Kluyveromyces lactis: one gene and its partner. The protein of the gene in region 2 purifies or fractionates together with the protein of the main gene of each other region. This does not show direct contact. Links are inferred from orthologs where the notes say so. Each region holds a gene or a part of one and is shown on either strand. Other genes may lie near its edges.

The links. The genes of interacting proteins can lie anywhere in the genome.
Region 1: the proteins of NOP14 (region 2) and BMS1 purify together in Saccharomyces cerevisiae (affinity purification with mass spectrometry; 4 studies listed by BioGRID). This does not show direct contact. The link is inferred for Kluyveromyces lactis from reciprocal best matches to the Saccharomyces cerevisiae genes NOP14 and BMS1.

What each region holds. Positions count from the first base shown.
Region 1 is NC_006038.1:179,531-184,286, forward strand, and holds the start of BMS1 (GTPase BMS1), read right to left. Parts: upstream 3,467-4,756; coding exon 1-3,466. Other genes in the region: KLLA0_B02090g (uncharacterized protein), read left to right, coding at 4,188-4,756. UniProt on the Saccharomyces cerevisiae protein: GTPase required for synthesis of 40S ribosomal subunits and for processing the 35S pre-rRNA at sites A0, A1, and A2.
Region 2 is NC_006039.1:1,426,091-1,431,952, forward strand, and holds NOP14 (snoRNA-binding rRNA-processing protein NOP14), read left to right. Parts: upstream 1-1,660; coding exon 1,661-4,174; downstream 4,175-5,862. Other genes in the region: proteasome regulatory particle lid subunit RPN5, read right to left, coding at 1-1,104; autophagy protein ATG9, read right to left, coding at 4,216-5,862. UniProt on the Saccharomyces cerevisiae protein: Involved in nucleolar processing of pre-18S ribosomal RNA. Has a role in the nuclear export of 40S pre-ribosomal subunit to the cytoplasm.

The sequences.
Region 1 (4,756 bases), on a different chromosome or scaffold from region 2:
CATTGTCGTTGAATTGTCTTTTTTTACCGTTTTTGGAGAAGAAGTCCTTCTTACGTTGCTTCTCCTTTTCTTTCTTCGATTCCTCCAACTTAGCAAGCTTCTTGAGTCTTTCCTTCCTTTCTTCAGCTTTCTTGGATCTCTTCTTTTCATCCTTCGCATTCGAAATGGTGAGAACCTTTTGCATGAAGGAACGTGCCTTTTTCTCTTCGCCGCCTAGAACGACAGCTCTCTTAGCCATGTATGTTTTCTTCTTTTGCGGTTTCATTTGATAGATCTGGGATTTGAAAGGTAAGTCTTTGGCAACAGATTTTGGTACCTTTAAACCGTTGAAGTTCCTTTCAACTCTTTCAACCTTCTTATATGTACTGTCATTGTTGGTCGGTAAATCGATTCCAAGAGATGCTCTAATTTGACCAGTTAGTCTCAAACCCTTCCATTCAGTTTTATCTTTTAGCAACAATGAAGTAACTGGGTTGTAGAATTTCTTAACTTGGATTGGATACCATGACCTAAGAATTATAATGTCACTCAATAGTATCTTATCCTCAAAAGTTGCCCTGAAATGGCCTTCTGGTTTTGATAGAGCACGCTTGATTTCACCACGAATACCGGAAACAGTCTTGATTTGGGCACCTTCGAACCGTGCAACTTCCATAGCGCTAGAGAACATATCCTTTATGAAGGCAGTGTTCTTGAAGATTTTGTAAGGATAACCAACAAGCTTTAATTTCTTCACAATTTCTACGCTTGCATCGATCTCCTCTACAATACCAGTCGCAGCTATTCTGAAACTTCCAGTTGTATCACTGTTAGCAACTATTTGAACACCACAGAAAGTGGTATTTGGCGAGCACAAGGGACCATAGAAAGAAGCTGTACAATAAGCATGTTCTGGAGTATACTTCAACATTCTAGTCCTGGTTCTAGAGTCACTAGTGGTGTATATTGGTAGAGTTTGGAAACGTCTCCAACCAAGAGATAAAACTAAAGGATCATTTGTCTTGAGAATCTTTTTGTGCCAACGATGTCTTCTGACTCTTGCATTAATAATTCCGAACTTCAATTCTGTGGGAAGAAGACCTCCCATAATTACTGGATACTTTGGGTTGAAATTTTCGATGAATTCCATAGGAACCTTATCGAAGACAATACGAACATAAGACCCAGCTTTCATACCTTCGATTTGTTGCCTTTGTTCAGGAGTCATAGATTCCAGTTCGGCTTTATTGATTTCTAATTGTTTAGCAATCTTAGCCTTCTGTAATTCGTACCAGGTATCGTATTCATTTTCAGGGTCTTCTCCAAAGTTGTCTCCTTCTTCCATTTCGAATTGTAACCTTAATTTCTCTTTTTTTGCGGCATTCAATTCACGCTCTTCATCCTGGGTCAAATCCTTCTTTTCTTCTTCTTCGAAATCAGCGAACGATTCGTTGCTATCAGATTCTTCATCTCCTGCAGCAGAATTCTCCTCCTTCTCATCTGTGTTTTCAGGCTCAGCTTCTAAGTCCTCAAAATCACCGTATACTTCATCTTCATCATCGTCTTCATCCTTTACATCATCAGAAGACTTGGTGTTTAAGGATGGCTTTCCAACAAATCTGTCTTTGATTGAATCGGCAGTTGACCATCTTTCAACAAGGTCATTGAATGTATCAAAATAAGGAATAAATCTTTCAAGATCATCGTGGTAAGTTACTGCCTTATTCGGTGTAGTATTTGTCTTTTGGGTGAAGAATTCAGTATCTTCATCGTCTTCTAGATCTTCTTCAACTTCAGTTTCGTCGGCCTCGCCGTTCCATCTTTTGATTGCATCAGCTGGAGCAATGTTGTCCATGTAGATAAGTTTGCTGATATCCCACTTTCTTCTTTTATTCTTTGTACCATTCAATTTACCAGCTGTGGTTCTTTCCCAACCTTCAGAATCAGATGCATCCAATTCTGAATCTGTCTCAAAGGCCATGTTTTCAGGTTTTTCGTCATCAAAATCAATTTCAACTAATTTAGTGCGATGTGCTTCATCTTCGTCATCATCTTCATTATAGTTTTCGTTGTCACTTGATAAATTATCGAGATCTGCGTTAGATTCCTGAAGGGATTTGCCGTATACTCTTGCCTTTCTTAAGGAAGATCTACCAACGTTTCCTCTATCAACATCATCCTCGTCTTCGGTGTCTTCTTCAACTTCTTCATCCTGATCTTCAATAGCATGTAACTCAGTACTATTTGAGAAAAGCTGCAATCCAACATTCTCGAATTTTTCATCAATGGAACGAGATGTAGCCTGTAGGTTGGACACGATCTTGTCACTTTCATCTTTTTCCTCTGCAGTCATTGAGTTTGGACCTGTCTTACCGCCAACATCAATGAACACGGCATCCTTATCCATAAGTAAACCACCAACGTCAGACATTGGAGCATAGATCAGCTTTTGTTTATCATCCAATCTTTTACGTCTTCTTACAGTCGTTGCTGATGTGGAACCTTCTTCCTTAGCACGTTCACGTTCAAATTCATCTAATTTCTGTTGGTAATAAGGTGTCGGACAAGGATCAGGCAATTTCTCAACGTGATCGATCTGGTAGTCACCTACACCGGCGATATGGACCCTGTAGCCTGGAGTCGAAGGTAACGGAGTACCGTGTAAATAACCATAGATGGCGACTTTACGATCTATATGCATACCCTTCGATTGTAAGAGTTCTGGATGAGTTAAATCGGATATTCTATCGGCCAATAAATAAGGATGTTCGTTTCTCCATTGCAAAGGTCTGAACTTCATAACACTTATAAACCTTGACAAGTTCAAAATCTCTCTATCTGGATAACGACCGTTAATAACACCAGAAAGGTAGAAAAGCTTGGCACCCTGATACACTTCGGTCCAGAACCTATGTTTCAAAGATTTCTTAGAGGCACGCAATGTTGACTGGGATTTGAAAAGATCCAAATGTGTAGCGACACCTAGTACACGAGGCATACCATGATGTTGAGCCAAATTCAAGAATTCCATGGTCTCCATTTCAAACCCGAAATTACCATCCATCATCAAAAGCACCAAATCGGCCACTTTTGAAATATCGATCATGGAATTCAAATCATCCGCAGGACATTCGATAAAAGTCAGCCTTCTACGCTTACCAGAAACAACAGTAATAGGACCGTTAATTTCGGATAAAGTGGTCTTTGTCAACCTTCTCACTAACGATTTGATCAAAGTAGTCTTACCGGTACCTGGAGGACCAACAACAGCAATAATGATCGGAGGAGGATCATCATCTGGGGTACGATCCACCATCGGAACATGCAACTTCTTCTCATTCTTATCACCCGTACGTTGCATCTGCTTAGCCATTTTCCCCGGAGCGGAGACAGCAAAGGCCTTAGCATTGTGGCCCTGAGAATGTAACTTCTTCTTGGCACCAGCCTTCTCCTTCCGCTTCCTATGTTCTTTATTCGATTGTTCCATTGCTGAAGCTTGAGAGTCTTAAGATGTATTCAGGCAATGTGATTCGAACTAACTGGCCTAAAGTGACCCTTTTGATTCAATTCAAGATACTAGAATCTTTTATGTTCACCGATGAGATGAGATGAGATGGTTGAGCTTCTTCATGCAATTTTTCATGCAGGGTAAGAAAAAGAAATGATCTGAACCTTGTCGATATCTAATCACGTGATTCTGCACGTGATCTGATTTTTAAGAATTTAAGGTATTCTGTCAGTTTTGTAGATATTCCTACATGTCTCTGCCGTAGTAACTAGGGCCCAAGGGCATATGGAAAAAAAAGCGTTCATCGAAATTCGAACATCAAAATGAAATCGAAATCCAATCAAATGCACAAACAGAACAGGATAGAACAAAGGTCAATGAATCAACGGTTGGATTCCGAATAAAAGTCGTTTGTTTCATTCGTTTCCCTAAAAGTTGTTGTGTTTTTTATCTTTAGTTCGTTTGTGTGGTGATTTGGATTTCACAACAAGAACTGTACGTTCTACACCAGTTATATTGTTGTGGATACGAGACAACATCTTTTGGTCATAGAAAACACATACTGTTCTTATTCTTTCCAATCTGTGTGCGTGTAATTTTTACTGAGTTGAAGCAGGAAAGCTAGGATAACAGAGTCTTCAGTGGTGTGTGTTTCCTTGTTGAGCTTTTTATTTTTTGGATAGAATACACAGTGTGAGCAATGGTTTTGTATAAAAGGAAAACGATAACGTTGCCAGATGCTAGGCCATTACCGTCAAATATCAATAGGAAAATATGGTACATTCAAGAGACAGGGGAATGGTTTTTGACTTATGCAGAGTTTTTGCAACGATTGGATTTTTATAGGCGACATTATTTCACCTGTGAGATCACTGGTACATCATGTTTAACTTTTTTTGAAGCGTTGAACAGTGAAGAAGAGCAGTTCCAATACGTTGAGAAAATGTTCCCTTTAAAATTACGTGAACCTGTTGCAAAATTCATCCATTTCAACGAGATTAGAAGGCTAGATATGCTCGTCGAACAGGTATATGCAAGATTTAAAAACGACTATTTCCCTGGAGAAACGGTATACCTACGGAAAAGTAAGCAAGATTCCTCACATGACGATGCTGAAAAACATCATCAGCACTCACATGGATCACAGCATCAAAAAATTTACATTATCAAAGAAAAGGCTCAGTTTAATGCAGTTATAGATAGAGATACAAGGCAAGAATTGGTTCCTGCCCATGCAAAATATATGTTACAGGAAGCACAAGGTAGTAC
Region 2 (5,862 bases):
ATCTAAATCTAATAGCTCCTTTAACCTTGGCAAAGTAATTTTTGTATAGTATTTGGAAATGACACGCAAGTTGTGCTCTATGATTCTCTTATGAAGATCTTCCCAGTGTGATTCATTAGACCCGAATGCAACGCCGTCCTGGTTCAAAATTTCTTTGTAGGTATCTTGTACTATTGGCCATCTCATTAGTTCTGCTGTGGTGAAGAGTTTTACCAAGGATTCTTGGGATGGCAATTTCTTTAGATTGTTGTCCAACTGAACCTTGTGAATGAGATCATTTTGTAGGTTATCATATGGCGATAGAATCAAGAAGTATACAACCCTGGATAGAGCTGCCTTCCATTGAATTTCATCTGCCTTCACAGAATCAGAGTTGTAGATTTCTTGGTAGTACTGAGCCACTTCTAAGTAATCTTTCTTATGCAAGCCAATCTTTACCAAAAGGTTATAATACTCTAATTTCAATGCTGCATACTTTTCATTCTTGAAAGTCTTCTTTAATATTTTTCTGGACAACACAGTGGCTTGAGAGTAATCACCTTTTAGGATACTTAATTCCATTTGTTCAAGGATAAATTCAATCTTTTCATACATCTCCATGGACCCATACGTTTCCACTTGCAATTCACATAACAAGTCAGTGGCCTCATCGATCTTGTTCTCAGATCTTCTGATATGAACCAAATCTCTAGTGACTCTAGCTCTTTCAACTTCCACGAAAATCTTGTTCTCAGTCACGGTTCTTATCGTCTCAATAGTTTTAATCTTGGTGTCCAAATCCTTCAGGTCTTCCAAATATTTCATCACAGACTGAATCATATACTGCACAGATAACTTCAATTGACCATGCTTTTTTGATAGAAGCATGATTTGGTCGTTAAGTAGGTCCCATTGGTCTGCTGCGACCAAAACATCTACGATCTTAGTCAAGACTCTTTTCGAAGATGCTAAATCAGAAGATTGTCTAGTCTTCTTTTCCAACACTAACAATTGATCCAAAGCACTGGAATAATCATTCTTGGCCAAAATCTCAAGCTTAGGAAATTCAGCGTCCAAGATTTCGGTATAATCTTTCTCTGCCTTAATTGGAGCGTCTCTGGACATATTTTACGATATAATTTATACTCTTTTCTCTTTGCTCTGCCTGCTCAACTTAAACCGAAATGCAATACAATCAATTTCTCTGTATCCGTCCTGTATTCAAACCACACAAACTTACAGTCTCAGAACCGACACTGTAACCTGCTGTACCTCTGTTCGCGGTTATTTCGTATATATTTGCCACCTGTAACTGATTTCCTTTATTTCTCATAATGCCTTTAAAATGACAAGCTACGGTAAAAGCTTCCTCAGTAACAGTAACAATCGAATCTTAGAAAAACGTGACTTCATCATCGTTCGTAATGATTGTGCTGGATATTCGGGTAACCTTGATTTGATTTTATTGTGCGGGTAACTATTTTCTTTCTTTTCGGTGAAAAAGCATTAAAAGTTTGACAGAAGATGAATTGAGCGATGAGATGAGATGAGATGGGATTAAATCAAAGGCTGTCAGAAGGTTCAGTATCTTGGCCGATTGTATTGAATTGACTTGCATCATCAGTTGTGTTTAGACCATTCTTCTTGTCTGTGGGCAAATAGGTTACAAAGTCGAATAATAATGGGTGGTTCACAGTTGAAGAACTTGAAGGCCGCTTTAAAGGCTAATGGGTTGACTGGTCAGACCAATGTCAAGAAGAGTTCTAAGAAGAAGGGCAAATCTCCCAGGGAGTTTGATAGAGAAGAAAGACAGAAGACTATTGAAAGAATTAGGGAACAGTTTAATCCGTTTGATGTGAAAACAAATCGTAATAAAAAGGTTGGTGTGATGAGGGAATCTGCAGCTAAACTTGCAGTAGGTAAGCCGGGAATCACTAAACAAGCCGGTGAAGATCAACGTAAAATGTTCTACGAAGCCAAGAAGTCCAGCAAGAACAGAAGCGGTGGTGTCTTAGATAAACGTTTTGGTGAAAAGGATAAGAATTTGACTTCCGAGGAGATCATGTTGGAACGTTTCACAAAGGAAAGACAACGTCAATCTTCGACGAAAAGATCGTTATTCAATTTAGACGATAGCGATGGTGGTGAGGATGAAAACGTGTACGGTGAAAAGTTGACTCATTATGGTAAGTCTCTTTCCTTGGAAGATGATTTCGATGAAGGTGATTTGGGGTTACAGCATTCTGATTCGGAGGACTTCAGGTTGAAACAAGCTGGTAAAAGAAATATGGCGGATCAATACGGAGATGAAGGGTTAGGTGATGACGCTTTGCAAGAGCCAGCAAGAAAGAAGACTAAGGCAGAAGTCATGCAAGAGGTCATTGCTAAATCCAAATTTTACAAACATGAAAGACAAAAGGCGCAGGAGAAATTGGTCCAAGATATCGAAGGCCTTGATGACGATTTCGAAAGCATTATGTCTGAATTAAGGACGTTACCAAAGACTAAACCTTCTCAAACTGAGATTTCGACCTCCACAGACATCGCTCCAGATTATGATATCAAGGTGAAAGAGTTAGTCTTGGAGAAAAGAGCTGCCCCTGCAGATAGAACTAAAACAGATGAAGAGATTAAGAAAGAATATGAGGACAAACAAAAGGAATTGGAGCAGAAAAGGCTTGATCGTATGAACGGTATTTTCAACATTGAAGATCAAAAAGATGCTGGTGTTGAAGATTTGGGAGAAGAGTTTTGGGAAGATAGCGACTCTGAGGAGGGCGAATATGGTGAATATATCAAAGCAATTCCTGACTCGGATGACGACGTTGATTTCGAGAAGGATAACAATGATGACAATGAATACGACGCTACATCAAATGGTAGACCTTCAGCAAGAGTTATACCTTCTGTTCCATGTCCTCAAATTCACGATGACTTACTAAATTTCTTGAAATCTTATCCTATCGAAGAGCATCCATCTTTAGTTAAAAGAATAGTAAAAACATACCAACCAAAATTGGCTGAGGGAAACAAAGAAAAATTGGGCAAATTCACTGCTGTTTTGCTCAGACATATACTTTTCTTGGCTGAAGAAGATTACTCGGTTAATGTGAAAGAAATTGCATCATTACAAAACGAACTAGTAAGCATTCTAAAGACTCTTTCAGAAAAGTTTACCATTCCACTATCAGAGGATTGTAGAAATATCATCTCAGATATTCAGACTAGATTCAAAGAATCCCAGTTCTATGGACTATCTCCATCAGATTTGGTATTTTTCTCTGTTGTTGGTATGTTGTTCTCCACTTCGGATCACTATCATTTAGTCATTACTCCCTGTCTGCTTCTAATTGCAGAGTTTTTGGAACAAATTAGGTTCAATTCTCTTCAAAAATTAATATTTGGTTCGATACTGGTTAGAATCGCCATCCAGTATCAACGTATAAGCAAGCGTTATATTCCTGAGTTAACATACTTCTTGCAGACATCTTTGCGTTCTCTAATACCGAGTACCAAAGGGGAAACATTAGAAAACAAAGAAAAACAGGAGGACAATTTATCAATAGTAGGCTCGGATATTAACTGGTCCAAGGTCGCCCCTTCTTTAGAATTACACTCATTATTTTCCGAGGATCTAGAAAAGCAAGAATCTATCAAACTGTCCGTGCTGGTCAACAATCTAGAATCAATTGATTGGTGCATAACGAACATCTGGAAAGATCTTACTGCCTTCCCAGAAATCATTAATCCCTTCAAAGACATACTAAACGTGGCTGCCGAAGTATATCCTGGTACTTCTAAACCAAAACAATTAGTGGAAAAGATCGAAAAGCTATTGAAATTCCAAGAACGTCTGCCATTGACGTTGCAACAGCATAAACCACTGGCGATTCCATCAAATACGCCTAAATTCGAAGAGAACTTCAACCCAGATAAGAAGTCGTATGATCCAGATAAGACCAGAAGTGAGTTGAACAAGATGAAGGCGCAATTGAAGAAGGAACGTAAGTTCACTATGAAAGAAATACGTAAAGACACTAGATTCGAGGCAAGACAAGGCATTGAAGAAAAGAAGAAGGAGTACGCCGATTACCATTCCAAGATGGCACGTATTGTCAATCAAATCAGTACTGAAGAAGGTGCTGAGAAAAACAAATATGAGCGTGAAAAGAAGCTCCGTAATACCAAACGTTAACTGCATATTATATAATCTATACTCAACATTAATAAACTTTATCATCGATTGCGATCTGATTTTTTGTAATATTGGTTTAATAGGCCCATAACACCATTTCCCGCCTTCAGTTCGTCAGCATTATCAGCAATATCATCCTTAAAAAGGGTAGATTTGTTGATAAGTGAACCACTCAATGAGCCTAATTCAAGGTCCGAACTACGATCCGGGAATCTCTTCACCCTTGATCGATTAAGATTTCTCTTACGATTGGAGTTTTTACCTAAGGCAAATTGTGTCTTCCAGGAATAGTCTTTAGTAGAGCTGTATGGGTGATAAGATGGCTCGATTGGAGAAGCTGGTAGCTGATTTTTGCCCACTGCATTGCCTGCATTCTTGTAATCGTCAACGAAGTACATATATGACTGAAGCATTTTGTTAACACCCTCATCCGATTCGGTTTCACTATCATCCTGTTCTGCTTGGGAAAACATTCTCTTAGTTTGTTTTTTGGCCTTGGTACCTTTGTCAATTTTAGTAGCTTCAAACATTGCGTACTTACACACGTATCCCAACCCCTCCTCATAGACGGTACATTCTCTAAAAAAATCTATTATTCTTTCTGAATTCTTTGGCAGGGAGAACCATAATATGAAGGGAGTGATTATAATGCTGACTAGTTCCCTTAGTAATAATGTGATTCTCAAGTTGTAAAGCCTACAAAACTCATTTTTGATGTCCTCTGTATGATATTTCCCCTTCCATTCCTTTGGAGCGTAGTGTGTATACGACACAAGTTCCTCCAGTGTTTCCTCTGGTTTGAGAACCGTATACTCATCGTTGATAGAACTGTGACAAACTGCCCATAAAGTACCAAAAACAGTCATGTAAAATAAAACAGTTCTGTCAGGTGTAATTTCGAAGTTTAAGAAATTGTCTGGATCAAATATTGTCAGAATACCCAAGATTGCCACAAAAGAACCGGAAACAAACTGTATAAAGCTTAAGGTCAAGCTTAATAATGTATTGGGAAATTGATTGACATAATTGTCCGCTATTATCATGCTCAATCTCATTCTTTTTTGGAAAATATGATATAATTCATTGTATTCCCTAAATTTCCATTCAGCAATAGGAGTATATTGCCGAGAACCTATTGATCCTGGGGAGGTTTTGTACTCATTAAAATATCTGAAGAAGTTCAATAGAACAAAGTATGTTACTAAGAATGGGGATAAGATAATGTTCAAGAATCCAGCAAGAACAAACCTCTTCTTTAACTCCTCTCCCAGGTATTCTCTCTGGCTTTCTCTTAAGAAAGCTTGCTTTAAATAGCCCTTCTCATTGAATGCAAAACCTAAAATACAAAGATTTATGTTCCATTCGAGCGTCTTGGTAAGAGCACATGTTCTTAGTAGAGGTACTGGTAGGGATAAGTCAAGAATATTGTTATCATATAGTGCAATGACAAAATTCTCTTTGCGCATAATTCGATTAGCCACGTCATGCGCACTCAACCTGTTTTTTGCTTTGACTTCGGTAGCATTTGCTGTGATCGCATTCTGATCCTTAAGTAATACTAGTTGTTGAATCACACTTTGCCATGGAATAGTTTGTAAATCTTTATCTGATATGCTTAAAAGGTAGTTGTAAAAGTTTCGGATGTCCTTCAATGCTTTCACATCAAAATACAATTGTAGAACTTTAAG